2 linked regions of the Drosophila melanogaster genome follow. The protein of the gene in region 1 purifies or fractionates together with the protein of each later gene. This does not show direct contact. Each region holds a gene or a part of one and is shown on either strand. Other genes may lie near its edges. The genes, in order: CG3224 and CG17768.

The links.
Region 2: the proteins of CG3224 (region 1) and CG17768 purify together in Drosophila melanogaster (affinity purification with mass spectrometry, with the first as the bait; one large-scale study listed by BioGRID). This does not show direct contact.

What each region holds. Positions count from the first base shown.
Region 1 is NC_004354.4:6,659,814-6,663,242, forward strand, and holds CG3224 (uncharacterized protein), read right to left. Parts: upstream 1,650-3,429; 5' UTR 1,541-1,649; intron 1,481-1,540; 5' UTR 1,360-1,480; coding exon 871-1,359; 3' UTR 739-870; downstream 1-738. UniProt on the Drosophila melanogaster protein: Involved in pre-60S ribosomal particles maturation by promoting the nuclear export of the 60S ribosome.
Region 2 is NT_033779.5:10,402,385-10,407,053, forward strand, and holds CG17768 (uncharacterized protein), read right to left. Parts: upstream 2,820-4,669; 5' UTR 2,753-2,819; coding exon of another isoform or gene 2,445-2,752; intron 2,371-2,444; coding exon of another isoform or gene 2,227-2,370; intron 2,167-2,226; coding exon of another isoform or gene 2,001-2,166; 5' UTR 1,612-2,000; coding exon 1,609-1,611; intron 1,549-1,608; coding exon 1,507-1,548; intron 1,445-1,506; coding exon 1,346-1,444; intron 1,173-1,345; coding exon 852-1,172; 3' UTR 813-851; downstream 1-812. Other genes in the region: Cnot4 (CCR4-NOT transcription complex subunit 4), read left to right, coding at 23-178, 247-386; LSm-4 (uncharacterized protein), read right to left, coding at 2,001-2,166, 2,227-2,370, 2,445-2,752; Ir31a (ionotropic receptor 31a), read left to right, coding at 3,368-3,515, 3,569-4,053, 4,115-4,669.

The sequences.
Region 1 (3,429 bases):
ATATTGTTGTTACCGTACGTTAAATTATTCATTATATTTCAGTTGCAAATATAGGACTCATAAAATTAAAGTGTAAATTTAAATGACTCACCCTTTTCAAAATAAATCCATGCAATTAAAGTTGTACATTATTTAATTTCACATTTATTGAGCACAAATCACCTAAAAAAAAATATAAAAAAAAACACAAATACTCTCACATTTTGATGAGCCATTTCACAACAAAACACTCGCGATGGCAAAATGCACAAGATCACCGCTCTAAAACGTAGCATACTCTTAAGTGCACATGAGAATGCCAGTTGAACACGCACCAACACACCCACACACGCGCCAACGGAGAATGAGCCCAAAGGAGAATGAGGAAATTGCAGAAATTTACCAATTTCACCCGTTTAAACTAGAAATACCGTATCAAACGCATTGCGTCGACCTGCGCTCACTGGTTAATTACACTTTGTAGCACTTTTCGACAGCAAACGACGCTGATATTTATTTAATTTTAATTTTAAAGCGCGTCAGCCATCGCATTTTGTGTTTACCGCTGCTCACGGACGAAGAAAGTGACCGCTTGCGGAGAGAACTTGAACTTTTGAGCTGCAGGAGAGAAATCAAAAGAACGGTAAATAAAGCTTTGCCGCTTGGAAGCGTTGAACTGCTTGTTGTTTAGAAGCTTGTTGATCTTTCGCCACCCTTGCGCGCATTAAATGAAAATTAATTTTGAATCGATTTATATATGTTGGAAAAAAAATGTATTTAAAGAAAGCAATTGGAGGTAAACAGAGTTCTGTGGGAGGGGGGTGAAGAAAGTCCTGTCCCCGAGGGCCTTAAAAACTAAGCTAGATCAATAGATTGGTTCATCCTCCTCGCCTATGTCTCCATTTTCTCGACTTTCTTGCGCTTCGTTTTGGACGTCGATGGCGAATCGGTGGCATCTGTATCCTCGGGCACCACTTCCACTCGGATCCTCTTGCCAGCGACCACGTCCTCCTTCGATGGCTGCGTTTCCATCGCCCGCTTCTTGGGCTTCACGAAGCTGCCACGTCCCGCGGCGCGTTCCGCCTCCTCGATGCTGTACGGCTCGATCTCTAGGGCCTTGAGACGCCTCTTGTGCACCTTGGTGCGGAAATGTGCCTGCATGGCGGTGTCATCGATGAAGTACTTGGCACAGTGCACGCAGTAGAACTGCGCGAATCCCGGCTTGTCGAGATCCACATTCTGATTGATCAGTTCACCGCTCCGGGTCTGCAGATCGTCGTCGATCTGGTCGAGATCACGACGTCGATTCCGCACACGCCATCTCCTCTGCAGATGGGTATCGCCATAGTGCATCTTCTTGCGTTTCGATACCATTCCCATCTTGCTGACTTTTTTTTATATTTACAACTTTTACGGAAAATTTAATCGTTTGTTTTGGCACGTGTTTTGGTTGCCAATGGGGTTTTAGATTCTGCTGCTGCTGCTAGGTGTTTCCTAAAACCTGTAATGCATTTGAATGTTAATTTATATACTGTTACAGTAATTTGTTGCTTAACTTTACCTTTTTTTGGTTAAGAAACGAGGGTTTTAAAGGTAACAAGTTAATTTAATGCGCACATAGAATGTTGGCGACGGTCCCCGGCCGATTGGTTTCTTATCGATAACTGAAGAAATCGTGGTGTGTGCACACTGATACACAGCTGTTTTTATTTATTCGAAATAAAACTAAATTCAACCAAAACTAATTAAACTAAAATTCCATAAATTAGCTACTTGTTGCGACAATAAGTTGTATAAGTTACTCATTTTTAAGCTGCACTCCATCTACTTCGTCTTTTACAATACTATTTTTTGGCATTATTTAGTGCCTTTTCGTAGGCAGCGCACTGTTAAATAAAAAAACATATGCTTGCAATTAATTCATCAACAATCGTGCGAACAAGTTGTCTGCGGGCGGACCGTGCGCATTTTGTTTTAATATTATTTATTTCCTTGCCGCAGGAAGTAAAGTAAGCCCCTAACATTTGAATACATAAACATAGAGTTCGGTTTAACTTGCGTTGATAAAGTGCAATTGATAATACAAATAGTGGGTGTGTGGGCTGGACGCACACACACATGTGTGATTGGATAACAACACTGTGAAATAGATCGGGTTTTACACTTGCAAAAACGATTAAAGCAATTATTATTTTTCATAAGATGCTGCAGCCGGTCCACTCTTGCTATCTCGCTTGCTTCAAAAGCTCAGCGTTTGCAGTGAGTGTGTGTGCGTGTGTGATTTAGCGCAAAAAGCAACAACGAAGCACAAAATAAAATCAGAAACTGTGATTGTTGTTAAATGACTGGTGCAGGGGGTTGGGTGGGTGTCAACGGCAGCTGCATGCATTGTTTAAAATGTACGACTGTTGGCTTATTGGCATTTTTCGTTGACTCTCTGTTTTTAGCTAGACATTCCGTTGAGTTCGTCACTTAAACCGGTGTTACAGCATACATACATACATACATTGTAGATTGTTACAACTCGAGCCAATTGCCCGCCAATTGCAGTAAGTACAACAACAACAAAAAGAACGCGAAATGCGTGAAATAGTATAAACGAAACTAAAAACAAAGCTTAGGAGTCCTTATCGATAATCAGCGATTGCATACCGATTGTGATTATCAGTGCCAATCGCTTATCAGTCAATTATACCGTTACAAGCACAATTAACCCTCTATCTGTGTTCGTGCGTTGAGTGATATATGTATGTTCGAATTCAGATCAACAAACTCTCTCCTACTCTCTTTTCTTTACACATGTGATATAATAGCTCCCCCGGCCTGCAATAGAAAAAAAACACACGCACTCTCGCCGTTTCTCTCCCATTTGTTGCTGCAATACATGTCGGTCACGATTTGACATTTCGCAATTGGTGCGATTGTGAGTGTGTGTGTGTGTGCAGGAGCAGAGGATGGGGCTCTCTTGGCGGAGATCAGCTGATGAGATGAAGCAACGGTTAATGCCATTTGTCCATGCAAATAAACAGAAAGAAAAAAGTTTACGTTGCTAGATCGTTTAAATTTCACTTGATATTTGGAACTAAATTAAATTTTAATTCAATTCTTATTTTAATTCTTTAATATAATATGAATAATGAATCACACTTCATCACGTCGTGAAATTCCATTTTCAAACTTATATCAAAATATCTTAGCTATTTCGCTGAGTCTTAGCATTTAGCATAATAGAAATATTACTGGTAAACGCAGATTATTCATTATTACTTGCCCAAAATAGAACTAGAAAATATACAAATCTTAAACAATATTTAGTGATAATGGTTTATTTCATGATAAGAGTAACAAATGCTTTTCTCTCTGTGTAAAGGCAAAGCTACTAATGCAGGCGAATAAAAGCGAGAGTGATAGAGGTGAATAGGTCCAACCGGTTTGGTCCCAGTGCGTTAG
Region 2 (4,669 bases), on another chromosome or scaffold:
AAATTATTTGGATTCGCAACAGTTTACAACAACAGTGATTGGACTTCAATGGATCCGGCTATACTTTCGTTTAGACAGTATTCTTCTTTTCCACAAAACCAAATTCCCCCACATCCTCAGCAGCAACAGGATTTATTTTTGCAGCATTTGGCTCAACAGCAAAATTCCCAGAGTGGTGGTAAGTGGGGCAACCAAGAGTTTACATATCAACAGTCGATTAAAATGCATCGGATTGTGTACTTGCAGGTTTCAACAACCAGGCACAGCAAATGCTTCCTATGGGGATGCCCAATAGTTTGCTGAACGGACAACAAACGCAGCCGCCACAGGTCAATGCCAATGTTCAGGGCATGCTTGAGTTTTTAAAAAGCCGTCAATTCGTTTAGCTACAATACATATAAATAATACATTTGTTTACCTGTACTCTTTATTAAATATTTCTTAAAGTAAATATAGGCAAAATAAAATTCGAATATAATGAAACTACATGATACAAACAAACAGACGGTCCAGTGAAATTCAGCCTACTAAAAGCATTTGTGCAGCAAGCGAAACACTTGGATGCCGTCTCCCCGCGCCGGACGTGTCCGCATGAATCCAATTATAGTATCCAATAAACCCCGTTCAGGGTGTAGTCTGCTTGGCAATAGTGAAGCCCCCAGTGATTTTTCAAACTTGAAACCAACTCATTCCAATTGCTCGCTGGATAAAAGACAGATTACCATGGCAATAAGTAGCAAAGAAAACCTCGTGATGTGAAATTATCGAGACTGTGTAAAAATGTCAACTTTTTAATAATAAATACGTGACTTGAAATGGTTGAAAAGAATTTATTACTACGATCCGAAGAACTATTTCCTATTTTTGGCGGCGTGGGGCAGACGGTTCCCTTGGCCAGCAGCGCCACCCAGGCGCATCGCGTTGTTAGCAGCACCTCCGTATCCCTGGCCGGGACGATTGCCGACATTGTTGCGGTTGCCGCCACCAGGACGTCCGCCGCGCTGATTTTGCGACGAGTTGCCGCCGCGGTTTTTGTTCATCTCTGTGCGATTCCTTGACTTGGCCTGCGCGTCCTCCTTGACCATGTCGATTACTTCGTCGGGGATTCGCAGATATTTGATGGTGCTCCCGCGGATATAACATTCGGGCATGCGCCAAAACCGATCGCCATCCTGCAAAGTACACATACACATATTGGTATAAACAAGCTCTTCATGTTATCATTTTTCCGGCTGTTTACAAATCAATGCGATTGTATTTATGTATATACCAGTTGTCGCATATTTTGCACACCGGCAATCTACATATTAATTACATATACATACATATTTAATTAAAATATTACCTTTGAGGTGCAAATAACATCGCGCAGATTAATATTCATCCACGAGTCGCAACTAACCAGGTGACCATTGTATGTTTCACCATTTTTCAGCTCCACCAACTAAGTGAATTAGATTAAACAATTATGTGTATGACTAATGTGTGCAAATCCAAACATCTTACCATGGGATGGCTCTGTGCTGTTTTTAAAAGTGAAAGTGGCAGCTAAAACACATGAAAATTAATCATTTTTCTCTTTATTTACCATAAAATAATATTGCTTACCATTTTCGTGAAGTAATCGATTAATACAGCGATAACATGAAATCGGAAGAGATGTCAATCACTTTGTTGGAACGAAATGAATATGAAACACATGCTTATAAAGATAGCGTGTTCTGTTTTTTTTTGATTTCTTATAACATAATTTTAAATGGTAACCAAGAGAGAATGCTATAGTAGACTTCCCCGACTGTCAGATACCCGTTACTCAGCTAGTGTAAATTTCATCCTTTTTCTGGGATAATAATAGGGAGAAAAGATTTTAAAATTGTTTTGAAAGTGTGGGCGTGACCGCCTTGGCGGCTTTAAGGCGCTAGATTGAGTATGGCAAAAAGGACAGTCGGCGGGACAGTCGGATTAAATACTTCACCAAATGGATAAAAAAAACATGTAACTTATTTTAAAGCCAACCGGCTTTGCAATGACTGCAATTCATTTAGTAAGAGAGCAATATTATAGCGCACTTGTTGAAACATGGACAGTGGCAATTCTAAAGTTCGATATTCCTTATTTTGGAGCTTGAAGTGGAGGACTATTGTAGGTTTATCAATTTGCACGGTACTAGAAAATAAATTAGTAAAGTGAAGTAAAAATAAAATAGCGGTAAGGTTAAATACTTACTTTAATGATAAGGAAATGTTGATTCTCCATTGCAACTTTGACATTTTGACACGGTCCATTTTAGTATCTGAAAAGTTCTTGCTCAGTACGTCTCGATGGTTAAGCAAAACTTTGCAGATATCTTCAACATATTCTTCTGTTAAACTATTGACGAGATAAATAACAATTATGTTAGTGACGGTCAAGTTTTCCAAGTACGTATGCATTTGAATACTTACTTTAAATCGTCCATTAAACATTTTCGCAGCTCATGATGCTTCACCACGCCCTTGGGATATCTTAAAAAGATTTGCATTGTCAAGAAAACCATTGTAAAAAGTTCACAAAAGTTCGGAGGGATTTCGTGACCTCCATTTGTTAGTTTATTTAGTGCCAGGGAAAGCACTTCCGACGAAGACTTCTTTGATTCAATGTAGTGCACAGACACTTGAATAAGGACACGCAACATAGACTTAGTCAATTGCGGAGTGAATGAAGTGTATGGCTTTACACTCCTTAATAGATTATATCTAAACGTAGACGACATATTGCATACTCATAAATTTTGTACAAAAACATAAACAAACTAGAAATGCTACGTCTTCGATATGAGTTATTTTGATATTCGATGCTCACAATCGATATTAATCGTACTGTTTTTTTGTTTTTAATTAACAGAAATGGATTATTTGCATAAATTAAATTAAAAAGAAAAAAACTCTAGCTATGATTTTTGATATTAGCCTTAATAAAATAAGAAACTAAACATGTTATTTTGGCGTTTTAAAATTTACTGCAATTAGGTTACCCGTTTTGGTAAAGATTTTCAATAATTCGGTTGTTTATTAAAGAAATATTTACATATGTTATTACCCACTTGAATTTTGTTTAAATTACTACTAACTGGTTTAGTTTTGCCATAAGTGTTGGGAGAAGTTTACTTTCTCATTAAAAATTTATGATCCAATTTTACCTGTCAATCAAAGCTACACTTTAAATCAATTAAATTATTTCTGATTAGAGGGTATAGAAGCTGCATAGTAAATTATGAACCAATTGAAATTAGAATGGGTAATTAGCACCTGCAATTCATGCTGTCAATCAAACAGAAGACCTTACTATAAAATGGCACAACATTCCCAGCAGGATAAACAATAGTAAAATGAATCTCTTAATCAGTATGTTTATTTTAATACTAGCTGCAGGCGAGGGTGAAATAATTCCGAGTATGGAAGAATCCGTTGTAACTAATTTCGTTAAAAGTCTAGTAAAAACCAAGCAAGCAATAGTGTTTTCGTGTTTATTTAAAGGTAAGCAATGTGCTAAGTTACAATAAAGGTATTCATAATATATTTATTGATAGATTTTAAAGAAATCTCTCTTGCATTGATGCGAATTAATCAATTTGTGAGCGTAGTTAACCTTAACCAAAGTTATTCACTAACATCGATATTGACTCGGGAAAATTACGCTCGAACTTCTGTGATGGTAAATGCCAGATGCAGTGGATCATCTGAACTTCTTTTTGAAGCCTCTGAAAATAGGTATTTCAACAAAACCTATCAGTGGTTTCTCTGGGGTGTTGATCTCGAGGTTCAATCCCTATTTCCTTTAAATCTCAACTATGTTGGTCCCAACGCCCAGATAACCTATGTTAATGAAACCGCAGATGGTTATGCGTACTGGGATATTCATTCGAAAGGACGACACTTGAAGTCGAATTTGGAAATAAATTTAATAGCAACATTGATAAACGATACATTGAATATAGCTCGCGATATTTTCCATTTGCAAAGTATTGATTTTCGCGGACAATTTAATGGATTAACTCTAAGAGGAGCAAGTGTTGTAAGTAATGAATAAGTACTATAACTCATTAGATTTTAGCCATTTCAATTATGGATACTAGATCGACAAGGAGGATATAATCTCAAATGAACAAATTGAATCAATACTTTCGCGACCAACTAAGGATGCTGGAGTGGCTGCATTCATAAAGTATCACTACGAGCTTCTGGGACTTCTGAGAGAACGTTTCAATTTCACTGTTAACTTCCGAAATTCTAGAGGATGGGCTGGACGTTTGGGCAATACTACCTTTCGACTTGGACTCTTGGGAATAGTTATGCGAAATGAGGCAGATATAGCCGCATCCGGTGCCTTCAATCGAATTAATCGCTTTGCTGAGTTTGATACCATACACCAAAGTTGGAAATTTGAGACAGCTTTTCTATACCGCTACACTTCCGATTTGGATACTCATGGAAAAAGTGGTAACTTTCTGTCGCCATTCAGCGACAGAGTTTGGTTGTTCTGTCTATTAACCCTTGGTGCTTTTAGCATCATTTGGGTGCTATTTGAAATTATCGACTACAAGATATTGCGTATACGAGTTAATAGTCAAAAGCTGGAACATTTAAATCAGAAAAGTTCGGTGATTTGCATTAAGACCACATGCATTGAA